2 linked regions of the Tamandua tetradactyla genome follow. The protein of the gene in region 2 interacts with the protein of the main gene of each other region in a biochemical or structural test. Links are inferred from orthologs where the notes say so. Each region holds a gene or a part of one and is shown on either strand. Other genes may lie near its edges.

Region 1 (10,050 bases), on a different chromosome or scaffold from region 2:
GGGCAAGACTTGTCAGAAGTCAGACTGCTGGGGTTAAAGCCCATATTCTCATAGGCACCTGTACGGGAGAAGGAGGGGTGCACACCCAAGGACCTCTGGCAGGTCCAGGCCCCTTGGAGTCCTTGACCTTTTGAGAGCCCTTCCATTGGTCGTGCGCTGCCCTCTCCTGGCAGGTCCTTCTGTGATGCATGTCCACCTGGAAGGAGTTGCCGGAAGAGGGGGCCCTTATTGCAGATCAGAGATGACTCAGCTGGAGGCAATCAGGGAAGGCAGCCTTGAAGAGGCGGCATTTTCACTTGGCTTTGAAAGATGAATAGAAAACAATCAAACTTCAAAGAGGAAAAATGCAGTTCTGTTCAAATGGCACGAAAGGGAGTGAGATGTTCCCAGGACAGCGAGTACTCACATTTGGTTGCCAGTCCAGGAAACAGACTGGCTGCCCCAGGCCTTGAGGCTGATAACCATTTCACAGGCCTCCTAGGGTAGGGTGCGAGTTAAACTGGTGAGTGTTTTTTAGAGCCACTCATTTAAGCCTTCTGTAAATGTGAGTTGCTACTATTACTCAAAAGGGTGTCTAAAGAAATGTTCTGATACGTAATAAAACATAAAAAAGTGACTTGCAGAGTTGTATGTTTTGGATGAACTCTCTTTTGTTAAAAAAAAAAAGAAGGGAGAGAGAGAAGAAGAAATGAAAAGGGTAAGGGCAGGGAAGGACTAAACCCTTGTGGGGGCAGAGGGCCAAGGATGTGGGGAGTCTAACAGCAGGCAGCTGAAATAGGATGAGGAGGGGCCCAGGTGGGGTTGGGAGGACTGGGAATGGACAAGAGGGAGGGAAAGATGACCGGCTTTGTCTATGAATCTCTGCATTGTTTAATTTGTTATTTCAGGTGCGTATACTTGTGTACACTTTTAAAAATTCCGGTGAGATTGAGGAATGAAAAAAGAGAGATACTATCATCCCATGAGAGGAAAGAAAGCCGTGGGAAGCCTATTGACCAAAGTGACTCAGCCAAGAGAAAACAGGCTCTTACACCAGATACAGTGGACTATCTTTGAGTCCTGGGGGCAAGGGCAGTCTTCCCACACGAGACCCTCTCTTGAGTGTCCCAATGCTGGAGGGGTCCTTGACTGACCCCTTCCTTTGACAGTAGGAAATGCTAAGATGAGCAAGAGCCAGAGACTGACCCAAGGCCACCCAGCAGAACCAGGCCCAATGCACTTTCCCAGATCCCGGCCTAGTGGTCTCTCCCCCATGGAACACCATCTCCTACTTCCGGGCAGGATACATCCCTGCTGGAAGGAGAAGAGGACAATGCCCCACTTGTTTAGCTCCCTTTCCCTTCTGCCAGCCTTCCTGCACTAACGTTTCCCTCACTGGGCCCTGCACGGGAATGCAGGATGACTGAGGCACGCTGCTTGCCCGTGAGGTGCTCACAGTCAAGTGGTCTGGAAGTTTCTGGCTTGTATGGCTAACAAAGACTTCTTTTCCTAAATGCAAGAGAAATGCTCTGAGGCTTTTTTTTTTTTAATGTACTGTTTTGTTTGCTGTTGTCTTAATTGTTGCCATGTTATATTTTATCAGTTTAATGTTTTAATTTTGTGCTTGGGCCCCGAGGCAATTCAGTGAAGGGTATGATTTGGAAAATCAAGGAGATAAAGAAATTGTCCGCATAAGATGCAGCCTCCCAGGAGCCGGGGACAAAGCGTAAGTGCTGAGAACGAATTTTATTAGGAAGAAAACAAAAGCAAACAACCTGTTACCAGACAGAAGGTAATAGACCATCCCGTTTTTCATTTTTTTTTGCTTTTGCTTTTGCTTTTAAATTAATACCAGTTCTCCATTTCTACCAAGGTCAGCCAAGGACACATGACCCAGTTCCTTCTCCTTTTCCAGAGGCCTTCCATGGTCCTGCTTCCAGGGCTATGCTCACAGTGAGTGCCCTGCCTGTTCTGTCCCCCTCTCTTCTGTCTATCACAGTCCAGTCATTCATGCAGCCAATATTTACTGAGCAATTTCTGCGTGCAGGCACTGTGCTAGGGGCTGGAGATAATGCAGCCAACAAGACAGCCATGAGTCTGCCTTCAGGGAGCTTACATTCTACTAAGGCAGGCATTCTCAACGGGGAGGTAAAAACTGGTTCTTGGGGGGGTGTGTGAAAAAAAACCTTAGCTATTACAATAGTTTGTATGCTCTATGACCCCCTTTACCATCTCTGTGAGTAGCTCGTCCAGCCACCCAAGCAGAAAGCTGGGTGTCATCACTAATTCAAGCTACAAGCTGTCTCTGTTCTCCTGAACCAGATTTCCGGTTCTGTACCTCCTAGGGGTTCCTCGGAGGCCTTCATGGTGTCCCTGAAAATTGACCCATCTGCCTTCATTTCACTTCCTACCCAGACTAGATTCCAGAACCCAGCGATTTGGCATTTCTTTTAGTATCTCTCTAGAGCCCTATGTCTCTCTCCCCACCCATCAGGGCCTGGATAAACCCCACTGAGTTCCTTCCACCTGCCTGTGTCTGGGCAGCTGCGCCCTGCTGGAGAAAATGGCTCAGCAGGACAGGACAAGCACACATAAATTAATGACCACCACTCTCAACTGGGTTGTCAACACTCTCAGGGACTTTTGTGTGCAAGCTTCTCCTCAACTATCTGAATGATCATTCTTCTTCCTTCAAACTCCTCACCACCTCTTCTTCATTCTCAGCAGAAGACCTTGCCTCCCACTTTGCAGAAAAAAATAGATGCTCAAGATGAAATCTCCCTTAGCATCCCACCACAAACCTACATCTACATCTGCACCCATCCTCTCTTTGTTCCCTCTTTTGGTTCTAGAGAATACATCCCTCCTCCTCTCCGATCCAGCCCCTCCACCTACACGCCTGATTCCATCCCCTGTTACTTGCTCATGAACATTATATTTGATGATTATTTCCTCTATTCCTTACAGTCCTAATTAATCCCTCCCCCCTTGATCTTCTATCAGCCTTTAAACAAACTCGTCTTAAAGCACAATGTCCCCTCCCCCAACACACACATTGACCATAACACCTTGCTCTCACTTCTATTCACACAAAACTTCCCAAAAGACCCGCTGTCTCTCTCACCTCTCCTTCACCCATCAGACTGGCCACTGCCATGTGACTCTATCCAATCACTCTAGAAATCTCATTCCCTGATGTCACCAACAATCTCCATGCTCGACATTAAAATGAGACCCTTTTTCATGCTTATCCTGTTTGCCCTCTCTGAGCAGTCTCACTGTTGTCTCGTCCCACTTTTCTGAAACTCTTTCCTCCTCTTCCTTCTATAAGCCCACTCTCCTGGGTTTTCTCCCACTTCTCTAGCTGCTCCTTTTCTATCTTTGCAGGCATAACTTCCTTTTCACTGCCCTGCACGTTGCCTCAAAGCTCCATCCTGGACCACCTTCTCTCCTCTCTCTATGTTCTTCAACTTGGGCCATCTTGTCCTCATCCACAGACTCAATTATCATCTCTCTGTTGACAATTTCTCATATTCATATCTAGTCCAGATCTCTATGCTGAGTCCAAACTCATGTTTCCAAGTGCCTAATCAACATCTGCACTTGGTATCTCAAAGGCATTTCAAGCTCAACATGTCTAAAGTAGAACTTAACTTCTCACCTCCATCTCTACTACCTCCCCTCCTCATTCAACCCTCCCACTACAAGCCCCTTCCATTTTTCCTATATTAGTGAAAGTTACAGTCCACGTATTTGCACAGACAACACAGAGTCCATCCTAACATCACCTTTCCCTCACTCTCCCATTCCAGCCCATCTCTATGATTATTTTATTTCTTGAATAACTCCAGGAATCTTCTATCATCCTCTAACTCCACTACCACTCCCCTACTGCAGCCACTATTATACACTCCCCCTGGATGCCTGACTGTAACCCTAACCCCAACAGGTCTCACATCTACTCACACACCCACTACTCCCCTCTCCATGGACATTCACACTGGTCACATTAAAACTCAAATTCCATCCTAACCTTCTTTGGCTTATACCATCAATGGCCTCCAATAGCTGTTTGGATGAAGAGAAACATCCTTGATGTGGAATCTGTCCTCTGCCACCTTCTGCATTCCGCAAGCCCTGTGCTTTCCCTCTGGGTCCTTTTCCAAAGGCTTACCTTTCATTCTCTCTCAGCAGTACTTTTTGCCTCAGGCCCTTTGCACAGGTTCTTCCCTCTGTCCGAGATTCTTCTCCCACTTCCCCTATCCTCTAGACATAGTACAGATTTCTTCACTAATATCATGTCCTCAGGGTATGCTTCTCTAACCCCCAAGCATTCTTGTTGAATGCTTTCACAATAATAACACATACATACACAGCACTTTTTTTGTTGTTGTTAGGAACTCTTCTAAGCATTTCTGCTTAGAACTCATTTACTCCTCACAAGTCAACAGCGTATCTGACTGATTATTTGTTTAGTGTGTGTCTCCCCCATTAACCTGTAAGCTCTATAGGCATAGAGAACTTTTTTATCCACAATAGTAGGGGGTCCACAAAAATTTGCTAACTGATTGACTGTAGATTAGTTTCCTCCCTATTCCTTACATACCACATCCAATCAACCATCTTGTCCTGTCCGTGTTTCTTCCTGAAGCAGAGGTTCCTAATCCTAGAAGACATAGGTATGTGCCTATTTGAGTGCTGAAATAGGTGGAAAATGTCATGTATCTGTACAGATTCAAAATTTTCTAGAGCAAGGGCTGGGTAGTTCACGCTTCCATAGAATTCTCAACGGGACCCATGAGATTAAGAACAAATGACTTAACCCCAGGCTAGCTCATCCTTCCCCTGCCAAACTCCCTTGAACTATAGCAGTGTCACATGTTGTTTTATACCTCACAAATCCATCCTCCATGCTTTGTTCAGAGCGATATTTTTTAAAAAACAAACCATGTCACTCTCCTGCATAAAACTAGCCAAACAAGGGTCCATTGTCCTTGGAGCAGCGTTCTGCCTCTACATGGGGACCTTACGGACCTTTCTCGAGCCTTACGTGTCCTCACTCTGTCCTTCTTCCCCCCAGTACAGGCCAGCAGCATAACAATGTTTCCCCAGTCTACACCAGGATTGTAGGCACTCATGTGATGCCTTCAGTGTGGGGTGTCAGATCTCTCCTCTGCATTTATAAATCTGTGTTCTATCTTTAATCTGTGTCTCTTTAGGGTTAAGCGCCCCTCCTCCCTACTCCCATACGCTGCATACAAAAGGAATTTAACTATAGTTGTTTGGATATCGACTGCTTGTCTCTCCCTTGTGAGCGTTCAGGGCAGCCGCTACTTCTTACTCGTCATTTTATCCCCCCTGCTGAACCCGGTGCTAACCCAAGTTACCTTGTTCAATTTGTTCAATCAGTGAATGAATGAACTAATGACAAGTAGTGCTTAGTTCAAAAGTCCTGAAAAATGCGTAAAATGAATAAAGGCATGGACAACAGGAAGTTCGGCTCTAGGAGGAAATGCCTACTAGTCGAACTCAGAGATGACTAAACCTCGATCACAGCGTTCGGAAAACAGAAGACAAGTTCTTTCAAGTAGCGACTCAAAGGGATTCCGCGGCGGGAGACACTCATAGGATGGCCGTGCAGGAGGCGGGGCTAGTTCAATCCCCGCCCTCCCCTCCTATGGGAGGTCTTATTGCCCTCTGAGTCTCCGCCCCCTTCACCCGCTGGGGTGGGGACAGCCACGCAAAGTTAAAAAGACTACATTTCCCGGCGCGCCAAGGGACCCGGACGAAGGAGGGGCCGGAAGTGGGACGCGCGAGGTCTAAGGGCACGAGGGAAGTGGCGGGCGGGGACTTGGGGGGGGCGTGCAGGTGAGCCGACTGGCCGGGGGTCGTGGGCATGGCCGAAGCCAGAAAGCGGCGGGAGCTGCTTCCCTTGATCTACCAGCATCTGCTGCACGCGGGCTATGTGCGCGCGGCGCGGGAAGTGAAGGAGCAGAGTGGGCAGGTGAGCGTGCGAGGGCCGCGTGCTAGATCCGGAGAGCAGCGGCCCACACCCCCTCCCCGGACTGCCGGGCGGGCCCCAGGAGCTGGATTCCGCCGGGCTCGAGGTGGTGGGCCGGGGCGCCGAAGGAGCCGCAGCCTCTGCCTATCCTGTGGTTCCCAATCCCTCTGGGCCTTAGTTTCCCCATCATTGTAGTGGGCGGGCCAAGACATGTGATAGGATTCCCTGGGCTTTTGTAATTCCCGCGCCCCTCACCTCCACCCCCTTCCTGGGAGCGGCAGTTTAAAGTTTCTTTAGTCTGCCCCTCACCTCCACCCCCTTCCTGGGAGCGGCAGTTTAAAGTTTCTTTAGTCTCTGGCCACGTGGTTCGGCGCTTCCCACCCCCACCCCACCCCACCCCACCCCCGCCCCGGGCCGAGTAGGTTGTGATGGGTCTGAGGGGCGACCAGCCTCCGGAGGAGCCAAGAAGGAGCCCTCGGCCTTTTACTGAATTGAAACTCAAGCCCCTAGCGATTCTTCTTTACTGAATTGGACAGCTTTGAGGTTAGAACTCGTGGGGGAGTCATTTCTTACATCATTCATTCATTTAATAACTGTTAATCTGGCTTCATGTTGCTGATGATAGAATGGTGAGGACGGCTCCCAGCCCACCTGGAGCTTGCAGTCTAGTAGGGAATACATAAACCAAAGTATTAAAAGTCTCTATAAATGTACTACATTAAGTGCTAAGAAGGAGAGCCATAGGGTGCTAAGATATGGTATGGCAAATTGTCCAAGTCACAAGGACTATCTGAAATTTGCTTCCATGAGGAAGTGACTGTCAAGATCCGAAGGAAGGGATGTGGATATTCTAGGAAGAGATGCAAATGCCCTGTGGTAGGAGGGAGCTTGTTTTGTAAGCACTGGTCTCCAGAAAATCCTCTGTGGCTGGGGATGAGGGCAATAGAGGTCCCTGTAGGGACAGGAAAGGGAGCAACGAGTTGGCATGAGTGGGTCCTGTGGTTACTTTCGTCCTTACCTAAGAGTAGTGGGAGGCAGTTGGAGGATTTTAAACTGGTGAGTGGTGGGAGTTAGGCAGGTTCCCTTTTGCTGAGGTGTAGAACTGATCCTAATGCTTGCTCTCAGGTCCTCCCGAACTGTCAAAGAGTGATGGGTCCTGGGGATGTTATTGATGTTTTTTCCAACCTTCCCTGAGCCATGGCTATGCCTCTGACTCCTGTTAGATCACTTAATAGCTAGGATGCAAGTCACCAGTGTCTATCTTCATTGGGGTATATACCCAGGCAAAAGTGTCCTGCCCTCATAGAAGGTACGTTCTATTAGATTGCACATGGTGTGTCAGGTGATGGTACATGCTAGCTATAAAAATAAAGCAGGCAAGGGAGATAAAGAATGTCAGGGGTACGACTGCAAATAAAGTAATCAGGGAAGCCAAACTGAGAAGGTGACCTTTGGGCAGAGACCTAAAGGAAATGAGGATGTACGTGACGCAGCTAGCAGTGACGAGAGCATGCTAGACAGAAGCAACAGCAAGATGCCAGTGGGAATGGGAGGTGGGGAAATTGGGGCAATGAGGAGGCCAGTGTGCCTGGGACAGAACAGAGTGAGGCTGACACTTGGTGTTCCCTGTGTTATGGAAGGAACCTGAAGTTTGAGGTGTAGAGATTAGCCCAGGGATACTCAGGGATTCCACCTCAAACCCAGCTCTGCCTGACTCCAGATGCTGACTCCAGATGCTGACTCCAGCTCTGCCTGACTCCCTTTTGGGGCCATTCTGCCCAGGTCTGTGAACCTCTGTCCTCCTCCCACATTGTTCACTCAGACTCCTTGGGGCTGAAACCCCAGGTTCTTGATATTAGCAGAGAGCATAGGGCCACTGGCCTTGGCACTGAAGGCTTGGATTCCACCCGGTTTCTTCCCCTACCACCAAGGCACTGACAACATTTGGGCACAGCTTCTTCCCAGCAGACAAGTGGACTGTGGTTGTGCCTCCTAGATACCTTGGGTGTCTGGATTATGGTTCATACTGCCTGAGAGAGATTGACCTGCCAGGCCTTTGAAGGCCCTTTGAAAGGTCAAAGTAGAAAAAGCCTCATCTCCTGGCCTCTGAGATGGAGAGTGTCTGGGAGTTGGGTGAATGCTAACCTGGAACATTGCAAAATTCAAAGGTATCTCTTACCAACATTTGTCTTAGAAGGTTTTAGCTGAAATTGCTTGTCCTGTTTGTCTCTGGAAGGTTTTGAATGGTGCTGACAGGGCTAACCAGGTATGTTTCCCAAAGCAAAAAGACCCCCTTTTTAACCAGCTATCCTTGCCGGTCATGAGGTTGGGGAGAGTTGGGCCCAGAGCAGGAGCTTCCTGTGCTGGGGGGTTAATTGCTGCTCTCTTTTTCTCTGCAGAAAATTTTCCTGGCTCAGCCTGTTACCCTTCTGGACATCTATACACACTGGCAACAGTGAGTCTGATGGTGCTAAAAGGGTGGAGCAGGGACATCCCAAGAAATTGGCTTAGAATAAGCCAAGAAATTTATCTGGTCTAAGATGTGTCCCCATTTCCCACTGGAACACCGTAGCTACCTCCAGGAAGCCAGGTCACATGTCTGGATATTTCTAGGTATAGGAAGGGACATTGAAAGCTGTGATCTTGTAAAGACAAAAACTCAGCAGTTTGTCATTTGTTCAGTCAACATACATTTATTGAGCGCTTACTGAATGCCAGGTCCTCCTGTTCTAATTATAAAGATATTGTGCTGAATGTAACAGACCTGAATGGCATTGTAATCAGGGAGGTGAGCATGAGTCAGAAAATGAAACAAATAAATGTTAAATTACAGTGGTAGTAAGGGTTACAAAAGAGAAGTACCCGGTGCCCAAACTACATAAACAGGTTAGCCTGCCCTCGTTTGGGAGTCCAGGGGCAACTTCCCTGAGGTGACATGTGACTTGAGAGCTGAAAGAAGTAGAGTGAACTAGGCAATCGGTGTAAACAGGCAGGAGTGTGTGCTTAGAACTTCCAATCCCCGTGCCTGGGGGACATACAGATGAGGTTGAGGGGTTGACAGGGCCCGCCCCTGCAAAGCCTGGTCTTCATGTGAAAAGAAGTAAGCAGCAAGAACCCTGGAAGGGTGAAGCAGGTGATGAGATCAGCTCATCACTCTGCTGCAGTTTGGAGAGCCCAGTCGGGGGCTGTGGAGATCATCTCAGCAAGACCTGACAGGACTTGAGGCAGGGATGACAGGAGGTGGAGAGGGTGGACAGTAGATTCCAGGAATATTGGGAGTTGAAACCAAGATCTCTGGATAGATTGGGGAAGACTAGTTTTAGAAAGATAGGTTTCAACTTTTAAATATAAACATTTGATCATCATTGCTGTCCAAAAATGAGTTATGCTGCAGTAGGAGTGGTAAGCTCCCCTATCATCGGAGGTGTGTAAGCAATGGCATGAATGGTGTGGAGGGAATTTGGGCCTCCAGTGGGCATCAAAAAACCTGCCAGCCCTCAGGTTCTTGGCTCTCCTCTGCTGCTAAGTCAAGCTCAGAGCCCAGGGCATGTACTTCCTCTTCCTCAGCCTTTCAACTTTCTCAGGTGTTTGGGTGTTATTCATAGCACTTCCTTCCCCAGAGCACAGCTTCAGTGAGCTATACCATACACCTTTCTGTGCCACTAACCCTTTCTATGGGGGAGAAGTACTGAGTAGGCCCAGAATCGCGTACCCACCAGAGGCAGCCTAGCCTAGTGGTTCCTGACAAAGTTCAAACCCAGCAGCTAGCAGGATGGCCTTAGGCAAGTTTCATGGCCTCTCTGAGTCTGTGTCTTCAGCTGCAGAATGAAGGCAGTGTCCATCCCAGCCAGAAATCACCAGGCATAGACAGCGGCTCCCTTGGCTGCAGGGGGTAGGGGTGGGTATTCAAAGGAGATAATATTTGAAGGTTTAGAGGACTGAGTGATCTGGAGCCTTATCCCTCCGATGTCCCAAACTTATTCTTAACCCTGAGCAAGTCACTGAGTCATTCATTCTCTGAGACTTGTGCTAGGCACTGAGGATAGTATGGTGAGCCGGCAAAGTTTCCT
Region 2 (9,838 bases):
AAAAAATGGCTCAAGTTAACCTACAGAATGGGAGAAAACAGTTGCAAACCATATTGTAGAGAAGGGCTTCACCTCCAGAATAAATAAGTAACTTTTACAATACAACAAGAAAAAGACAAAAACTCAATTAAAAATGGGCAAAGGACTTGAATGGATATTTCTCAAAAAACCACATACGGAGATGTTACTTCATACACACAAGAATGGCTATTATTTTTTTTATTGTGAAATATAACTTATATACAAAAAAGCAATAAATTTCAAAGTACATTTTAACAAGTAGTAATAGAATTCAAAGTTTGGTATGGGTTACAGTTCCACAGTTTCAGGTTTGTCCTTCTAGCTGCTCCAAGACACCAAAGACTAAAAGAAATATCAATATAATGATTCAGCAGTCACACTCATTTGTTAAATCCTAACTTCTCTGTTATGACTCCTCCTGCTCCTTTGATCCTTCTCCCAATCTTTAGGGATATTTAGGTTATGCCAATTCTAACTATTTTTCATGTTGAAAAGGAGTGTTGACAATATGGGATGGGAGATGGAACTGGTTGATGTCCTTGGAGATACTGGCAACTCTGGATTTCAGGACTTATCTGGTCTAGGAACCATTTGAAGGTTTTAGGTTTCTGGAAAGTAAACATAGTGCATGCAACTTCTGTAGGATCTCAGACAGAGCCCTGGGTGTTCTTTAGGGTTAACAGGAATGATGTTGGTTGGTGTTTGGCAAACTGAAACAATTAGCAATATCTAGCTGAAGCTCACATAAGAGTAACCTCCAGAATAGCCTCTTGACTCTATTTGAACTCTTTTAGCCACTGATATCTTATTTCATTACATTTCTTTTCTCCCTTTTGGTCAGAACAGCATTGTTGATTCCAGGACCAGGGCCAAGCTCATCCTGGGAGGCATGTCTCATGTTGCAAGGGAGACTCACAACTCCTGAATACCAGGTCCCACATAGAGCAGAGAGTAATGATTTTACTTGCAGAGTTGGTCAAGAGAGAGAGAGAGGTCACACCTGAGCAACAAAAGAGGTTCTCTGGAAGTAACTTTTAGACATAATTTTAGGTAGGCTTAGCTTTTCCGCTACAGAAATAACTTTCATAAGAGCAAGTCTCAAGATCCACGACTTGGTCCATTAACTTAGGAGTCCTTAGTGTTTGAGAGTACCAGGGGTCTACCAATTAGGAAAGCTTAATAGCTTCATATCGTTTCTTCAGTCCTTGAAGGGACTTTGCCTATACTTTTTAATTATCTGCCCAATTATACTCTGGGATGTATCTGGGTATTGCATTAAGCTATACAGAATTGCAAGCCCTCACTTCCATTCTGGGCTCCATGTGTTTGGGTTGTTTAAATGAACTATCCAGGAAGGTTGAGTTAGACTGTACACTACAGAAGATTTAGGTTTTGGACAAAATAAAGATCTCTTCCTTTAGTCTCATATAGTAGGTGATGTTCTAAAATTCAGACACTGTCATTCTTCACCCTGTATTCTGATTCATCTTAGTCCCAATCAGATCAGTTTTGTTTTTATCTTTATTTGAAGACTGATCTCTTTTTTGCTTCTTGAACAGTTACTGTATGTAGGAATGCTGACTTTCAGAGCTGCAGAGCTCCAACTCTGAGTCTTATTATTTTTTAAAAAACAAAAATAAGTGTTCGAGAGGATGCAAACAAATTGAACCTCTAGTGTATTGTTGGTGGGAATATAAAATGGTGCAACCACTGTGGAAGGCAACATGATGGTTCCTCAGAAAGTTAAATATAGACTTATCATATGACCTGGATATTCCACATACAGGTATATACCCAGAGGAAATGAAGAGTCTCAAACAGATAACTGTACACCAATGCTTGCAGCAGAACAATCCCCTATAGCAAAGAAGTGGATACAACCTAAGTGTCCATCAATAAACGAATGGATAAATAGTAATATAAAAGCACAATGGAATATTATCTGATCATAAGAAAGAGTGAAGTATGAAACCTGCAGCAACATGGAAGAACCTTGAAAACATTGTGCTCAGTGAAATAAGCAAGACATATATGTACAAATATTGTATGACATCACTTATAAGGGATGACTATAAACAGTAAATTTGCAGGCATAAACAGTAGATTAGAGGTTACCAGCGCATTGGGGCAGGCAGGTAGGGAGGCAGAGAGAGAGAGACAGAGAAAGAATATGAGAGAGTGAGTTTATCCACAGATAAACCACAGCTCCTTGAAGTTAAGGACTATATGCATGTATGTGTAACAGGAACAGTTTTTCATACACAATGCCGTACTTTGAATGCAGGGGCAGGGGAGGGGGGATAATATACATGTTTTCAAAGCAGTTTTATTGAGCTCTATTCATGTACCATACAATCTATCCAAAGTATACAATCAGTGGCTTTCAGTGTAATCACAGAGCTGTGCATTCATCACCACAATCAATTTTAGAACATTTTCAATACTCCAAAAAGAAAACCTGTGAAATATCCCCAGTTGTCTCATGGTCTCTTCTAAATGCCAGACATTAAAAACACAAATAATGCTTTTAATATTTCCCAGTCCGATAAAATTCAGTGATTCACAGAAATGTAGTCTTCTATTTATTTCTATGTTAAAGCCTTACATCATCTCAAAAGAAATATAAATAAAAATAAAACAAAGGTCAGCAATGTCCAATCAGTGAATTTGATATCACTGCCTATCCAGAGTTTTATATTTGAAAACTAAATTGTGTACAATATATACAGCTTTAAAAATTAAGAAAACTTTTGGTATCTGATATTACATAAAATTTATATTAGAAATAGTTATGTTCATTGATTCATTTCAAGCATGAAGCCCACCAACATAAAAATTTCCAGTAAGAAAAAATGTCCCATTGAAAATATCAAGAAGGTTGTAGTGGTAACCTGAGTAGGATAAACATATAAGGATGCCATTTGCTAAAAGGAAAGGGTTGCAGGTATTCTGTCTTTACTTTCATTTTATATAGCTCTGGTCAATTTCACAGCCACAACCAGTACTGAACAAGGAAATTGGAAACTGCAGAATCGATTTGCAGAAGTGCAGTTCTATTTTCTTTTATATCTTCTTCATCAGAGTCGCTATCATTCTTGTGTAGTATGGTGTTATCATCGACAGCAGCCAGGGTAGAGCTGATAATTGCTGAATGTCATTCTCTTTCAGTGGAAGCAGAAAAAAACAAGGTGACTCTGAGCAATGTTTTCCAAATTTGCTCCTTTAGCAGTCCTTCATCTTTGCCAGAATTTAAATGTAAAGACTTTTCTGTTCTTAGAGACAACCACAATTATAACAGTCTTCTTTGGTTTGGGTTCTTAGGTAAAAAGTGTTAAAACAATAAAGCTCCAAATGTCTTATTTGAGCTAAATATAGATTCTTCAATATTCTGGTTTCCCTTTTAATTTTCAACAAAGGAGATTTTACTTTAACTTATTAATGAGAAAGTTGTTTCAAAGGCCTTAATACATTAAGATAAAAATTGTTTTACTTTTACGGCTGCCTTTCCAGATTTGCAGAAGGCTCTTATTAAATTTAAAATTATAGCTATTCATATAAAAAGCTTTAGCCTTTAGCTATTCAGTACCAACCCTGAAACAGATTCCCCTTTGTATTCTTAAAGATCATTGACAACAAATAGTTATGTGACAATTGGCTCAATTTTGAGATCCTCCTACTTCTTCTATGGTTTTTAAAAAATGCATTTCTAATGATGATGAAATCTTTACTATGTCACTACATCTGCTTAGAAGAATGGAGTCTTTTCAGTGTCATATAAATGGCAACACTGTAATTATAAATTTTCATTTTTTTTCTATTTAGATTTAGCCTGGCTTTTGTTCCTTGTATTCTGCAACCAGCTCCACCCCCCCCATATAGAAATATTTGTAGGTCAAAGAATCAGAAAATTTCCTTTTAACTATTCAAACAATATTACCAAGACTGTTTCTTAGTTAGGAGAGAATGGAATGAAAATCAGGTTTTATGCCTAAATTTAAGTCCTAATAGATAGGTGGCTATGAAACAAAAACAAAATGCAAACAAATACAAAAACCCTATTTTAACAGGCTCAATAAAGTTGCCAGATAAAATACAAAACACCCAATTAAACTTGAAGTTCAGATAAACAGCAAATATTTTAGTTTAAGTATGTACCAAATGTAACATGCCCTTTATTTTTATTTGCTAAATTTGGCAACCCTAAGGATTGATGCCATTTTTTTTGTTAATAGCATCAATATTGTGAGTGAAAACCCCATTATATTTTCATAAACTATAAAGCAACAACGTTAGGATCATAAAGAAATGGAAAATGAAAGTCATGAGTAACAAAAGTTACATTGATTTTATCCACGCAGGACTGTGTAGACAGGGTTTTCATAAAGAAGGACAAGTGCACATTGATGTCCACATACCCTAGACCCATTTCTTGTTAACTTCCATGGGATTATAGTACTTCAAGTTCTCAATTTTTCAGCAGGCCTAGGAACAGAACTGAATTGTTTCCCATCATTTTCTTTCTGTGTCACTCTGTTTCTCAAACACAGTTTAAACTTCAAGATCCTTCATTAAGAAGCTCAAGCGGTAGAACTTTTCAATGAAAGAAAAGTTGTGGGCATGAGCTAACTATATCTCTATTAAATATTCTTTCCCATTCATTGATAACAATTCTTCCTTACATTCTGAGGTCTAGAAATAGCACTCCCGATGTTAGCTGATTTGCACCTTACATTTATTTTTTTAAGTATAAATTAGCTGTAATGTGCCGGGCATTTTGTTAAATGCTAGAGGCACAAGTTTCTACACAAATCAAAACATGTCGAATTTCTGTCCTCTTGCAAAAGGCTTGCAGCCCATGAGACAGAGTAGGCATTCTTATTCACACGTTACAGGTGAGGGATCTAAGTACTCAGGAGTTGAAAGGTCTTATCTAAGCCCCACATATACTAAGTAAAAAAACCAAAGCTTCAATAAACTCTCTGGCTCGAGGCTCAGTGTATTCCAATATTCTTTAAAGGAAATCCCAGACTACTAAGTATTTGAAATCCTCTATTTTCCGGGACCAAAAAGGAAGGCATTCTGAATCCCTCTATAATGTTCGCGTCTCTTAAATATGGAACAGGTGTCCTCTGGGTGTGCGAGAAAAGCAAGGCATGAGGGGGAGTTAAAGATCCTGAGCATCCGTTGTAACCGAACCAAGTTAATCTGGAAACCGAAGCACACGGCCAAGGCGATGCTATTTAGTTGAGTGTCACAGGTGACTCATCGGGGATGGCTTGCTCTTGGGCCTCCTGATATTTTTCTTCAGGGTGGGGTATCGGATTTCCTTCGCAATTTTGGACAGCAGTCCCCTTGTCCATTTCCAATTTTTTTCTGGTTTCATAGCTCTCATGCATTGCACGCTTTCGTATCGGAAGCTAGTAACTGGCAGGACGTTCGGGGAATGAATAAGGTAAAAAGTGAGCCAAGGGCCAGGAGAGAGGCCTAAAACCGGAAAATTTGTACTTGGAGAGCTTCCCCTACCCCAGCCCCTCAGAATGACAGGTCTCTTCACCCAGAAGACTACCTCTCCCGGCAGGAACCGCGCGCTCCCTGGACACAGGCTGGCACACTCCCAGCTCGCCACCTCCGCCCGCACCAGCCAATAGAAATCCCCGACTTCGGCCTCCCTCCGAAAGCGACCACGCGGGAGCGAGGGCAATGAAACTACATTTCCCGACATACACTTGCGCGTATCATGACCAATCGGTGTGGGGAATTCGGAGCCTGGGGGCGGAGCTGGTTGCATAGACCACCCTATTGGCTAGAGTGAGCTTAGAAGAGCCGGAACCCGGGAGAGAGGGAAGAGAAATGACATTTCCTCTTTAAATAGCTGGATCCCGGGCCCCGTCGAGAAATGGCCGCGTCGGCAGGTGGGTCTTGTGGCGGCTAGGGAGGTGTGGGGGTAGGTGGGCCGGGGCAGCCACAAGCTGCGCGCTGAGGAGCCGGCGGCGGCGACAAGGAGCCCGCTGCCAGAGATGGATGGAGAGGTGGAGGGGGCTGAGGGGAGGGAGGATGAAGGGCGTGGAGGGCGTGCTCAGTCCGGCTGGGCAGAGATGGGGAGACCGGGTATCCGCCGCCGCGCAGACCTGGTCGCGAGGCGGTTGGAGCGGCACCGGCGGACGCCGTCCGTCGAACCTCCCTCGTGAGGCTTCTGCCGTTGGCTCCCAGCTGGAACGTCCCGGCTTTCGGCTGTGTCCGCAGACACCTCGCTTGTTCTGCCAACACTGTGTCTCTGCGAGCGCCGAGCGCCGGACTCGCCGAGCTCCGGGAGGAGCAGGCTGCCCTTTGAACTTGCCCGGCAGCTCGCTTTCTGCTCTTTCTCAGTCTCTCAGGTCCTACCTCGTGATTGCACGAGGTGGTGTGTATATACGTAAATGCATTTTTGTAGGGGGGAGAAAAACAAGCAAAGAGACAAAAACCCCTATGACGCCGTAACTGGCTCGGAACTTCTTGTGGTTGTACAATTTTTCTCCTCCTAGATTTAAGTAAGTCTTCCCCAACAACGAATGGGATTCCATCTTCAGACCCAGCCTACGAAGCTATGGACCCCTTCCATGCTTGCAGTATTCTTAAGCAACTCAAAACAATGTACGATGAAGGACAGTTGACAGACATTGTAGTGGAAGTGGATCACGGGAAAACATTTTCCTGTCATAGAAACGTTCTTGCTGCAATCAGCCCCTACTTCAGGTATGATGATGGTAGAAACTTCTGTTGGTATTAGCTCCGAGCTCCCTTTCTCCCTCAGTACCGTCCTCTTGATTATTATGCTGAAGCAACAATGAAATGAAATCACTGAGTTTGTTTCCTGAAGAGTAAGTAGATAACACGCTCTACTTTTTGCAACATAGCCCTTGTTTTTGACACGAGGGATTCTTCTAGAATTCAGATGGTTGCTTTTTTTAAGTTGGGGTACCTGTGTTTTGTTTTTGTTTGAAGTAAATGACCAGAAAATCCAGAATTGCGCTGCCCAATATGGCGGCCACTAGCCCCATGTGGCTGTTTACACTGAAATTATTTAAAATTAAATAAAACTTAAAATGCAGTGTCTCTACACTAGGCATATATCAAGTGCTCAATGGTGGTTGCCGTTTTGGGCAGTGCAGATAAAGACCATTTCCATCATTCAGCGTTCTAATGCGTTCTAATGGACAGTACAATCTAGTTTGTTCCAAAAGTTACCCCTTATGTCTATTTCTTTAGGGCATATAACTCTTAGAGTTCAAAACATGAGAGCCTGTTCCTTTAAAAACAAAATCACTAGTCAATATATTGTTTCAATGCCTTGGTGGTAAAAGCAGTGGAATAAAAATGAATGAACTATTGTTTCTGTTTGCCCTAGGCCCCAGACTAGTGATTATTTCCAATATTTTCAGTATTTTTAAGCCAACTTGTCATTTCATATTTGTGTTTGCGTATCATAAAACTTGGCAATGTAAAATATCAAAACTTGGGTCTTCAGAATAATTTCATACACTAGGAAAAAGATTAGCAGTAACGTCAGTTTCCTGTTTGAATTTAAGTTCTTTTCCTGTTTTCAAGTGCTTATTTTTTTTAACTGTTCCACTATTACAAAGTAATGCATGAATGACTAATAAAATCATCTTCTTCACCACACCCTAAATATGGTTTCCATTTTGAAGGTGCTTACCATGTAGGGCATGTGGCAGTGTAGTGTTTTCCACTGGAGTTTCTAGTTCCTCTTTCTCAGAATACTAGGTTAAATATAGTCACTTCAGTCTGCTTGTGATGTAACCATTTAGTCTTGCCTGGTGTAAGTCATTGGATCATTAACTATCACAAGACAGTACACTGGAAAGAACAAAGGTGAAATGCATACCCAGAAGGTATGAATTTGGCCTGGTAATGAAGCTAATGGTGAGATTTCACTTATCCAAGCAATCAGTTAGAGATGGTTAGATTGTTTATGTGTATAAATATCTGCCATGTTAACTATTTATCAATCCCTGGGCTAAACTTGCTTTACATGCATTGCCTTATATGATCTTTATAATCCTATCTCTGCATAGTTGTTATCTCCCTGAGACTCAGGGAGGTAAAGTGACCTGCCTAAATCATCTGTTTAACAAGTAAGTGGCAGAGGAAGGATTTGATTGCAGAGCTAGCGTTCTTAGTCTGGGTGTCTAAGAAACGAGTGGGTAAAGTAGATTCTTTTTAAAGTTGCCTTTGAAAGGTTTTTATTGTATATTTGATTTGAATAGTACAAATATAAAAAAATTTTTTTTTGAAAATTCTGACACTTCAAATTTGAAAGTTCAAAGTGAAAATGTCTATCTTATTGAAATTTTATACTTTGGATTATATTACATAAATGTCATACTTTGTCAGTTTTAAGACTTTGACAAATCTTTTAAAAGAAGTATGCTACAATATACATTTTTAATTTTCAGGAAGGTAAGAAAATGCTTAAAAAATTTACTGAACACAGGATATGTGAATTCAAACTAAGATATTTGATTAGAAAATTTAGGATTATGTTCTTATCTCTTGCTACAGTATTTTTTTTTAACAGAGTAAATTTCTTGGCACCAGTGCTTCTCTTTATTGAGATATAGAAAGTCATACTTAATAATTTCTAAGTCTTGCATCACTGGTGGAAGAATTAGAATAGCTGGAAATTTGGCATGACTATTTTGTGATTCTAGTGACTTGTCAAAATTAAAATTTGTATGAGTTATTATAACTTGTTGCTACTTGGGATTTTGTGTGAAGTAGTACTTCCACTTCATATACAGTGTACGTAAGTAATTAATTGAACAGAGGAGCAATTATCAAGTGTCAGACTCCTCCAGTGTGTGACTAGCTTATTCAAATCAGTAGTAGTTCCCATGATAAAGGGATCTGTGGTAAAGTTATCCTTTGGGAGTTAATCTCTGCCTAATGAAGGGCTTTATTTTTCTTTTTTAATTGGTAGCTGGATGGTTTCTTCTTTGGGCACCTGAATTGAAAACCAGCTTTTACATAGGAACACCTAGTTTTTAGCCTTCTACATGGAACGGCTAGTTTTTTAGCCATCAAAAAATCTTGTGCAGTATTAAACTTGAAAGTACATTGTAGAAGGAAAAATAGGATTCAAAGATGGTTAACACAGGCCAAGCTGGGTCTTTGTACCCTTATGTACCTCAAATATTTCTTATACTGCATTATGAAATTAATTTCATATAATTACTATAGAAATTAATTTGGAAATCTTCCCATTTAGTATATATTTTTTATCACATAGCACTTAAAAATAAAATAGTAGGGTCTGGATCTGAACTGTATCACCAATGTTAGGTAAATTTCTTCAAAAAACATTTTAAAAGCATCTGGACCTTGAAAGCAACAATAAATAGCATAGGGGGGTATATGGGAACTCACTCAGTAATTTCTGTGCAAATTTAAATAGTACACAGCCCTTTCCTCAGAAGTCTTATAAGAGAGCTTTTTGACTTGGTTTTTATATTTAATTTTAACAGCAGCCTAGAAAGAAACCTTAAAGGAGCTACTAAAAAGAAAAAAGCACATGATGTAGGTAAATGATTCTTAAATAAAGAGCCAGTTATTGGTTACTTAAATATTTTGTCCAAGAAAGCCCTATAAATGTACTGCTATTTTAATTAGAAAAGAGTTTGGTCTCAAAGTAAAATTTTGGATTTTAAAAACTATTATCCTCCAAGAATCACACTAACTCTTAGTCTTTTTAGAAGAAGGTATTCTGTTAACTCTACCGTAATCTTTATCTTTAGTCCAGTTATAAATGGGTAAAATATGT

Evidence for each region.
Region 1: the proteins of KBTBD8 (region 2) and TCOF1 form a complex in vitro, tested with the Homo sapiens proteins (2 studies listed by BioGRID, with this or other methods). The link is inferred for Tamandua tetradactyla from reciprocal best matches to the Homo sapiens genes KBTBD8 and TCOF1.

Annotation. Positions count from the first base shown.
Region 1 is NC_135346.1:31,143,021-31,153,070, forward strand, and holds the start of TCOF1 (treacle protein), read left to right. Parts: upstream 1-5,818; 5' UTR 5,819-5,875; coding exon 5,876-5,983; intron 5,984-8,379; coding exon 8,380-8,435; intron 8,436-10,050.
Region 2 is NC_135341.1:17,350,244-17,360,081, reverse strand, and holds the start of KBTBD8 (kelch repeat and BTB domain-containing protein 8), read left to right. Parts: upstream 1-5,744; 5' UTR 5,745-5,917; coding exon 5,918-5,933; intron 5,934-6,542; coding exon 6,543-6,753; intron 6,754-9,838. UniProt on the Homo sapiens protein: Substrate-specific adapter of a BCR (BTB-CUL3-RBX1) E3 ubiquitin ligase complex that acts as a regulator of neural crest specification.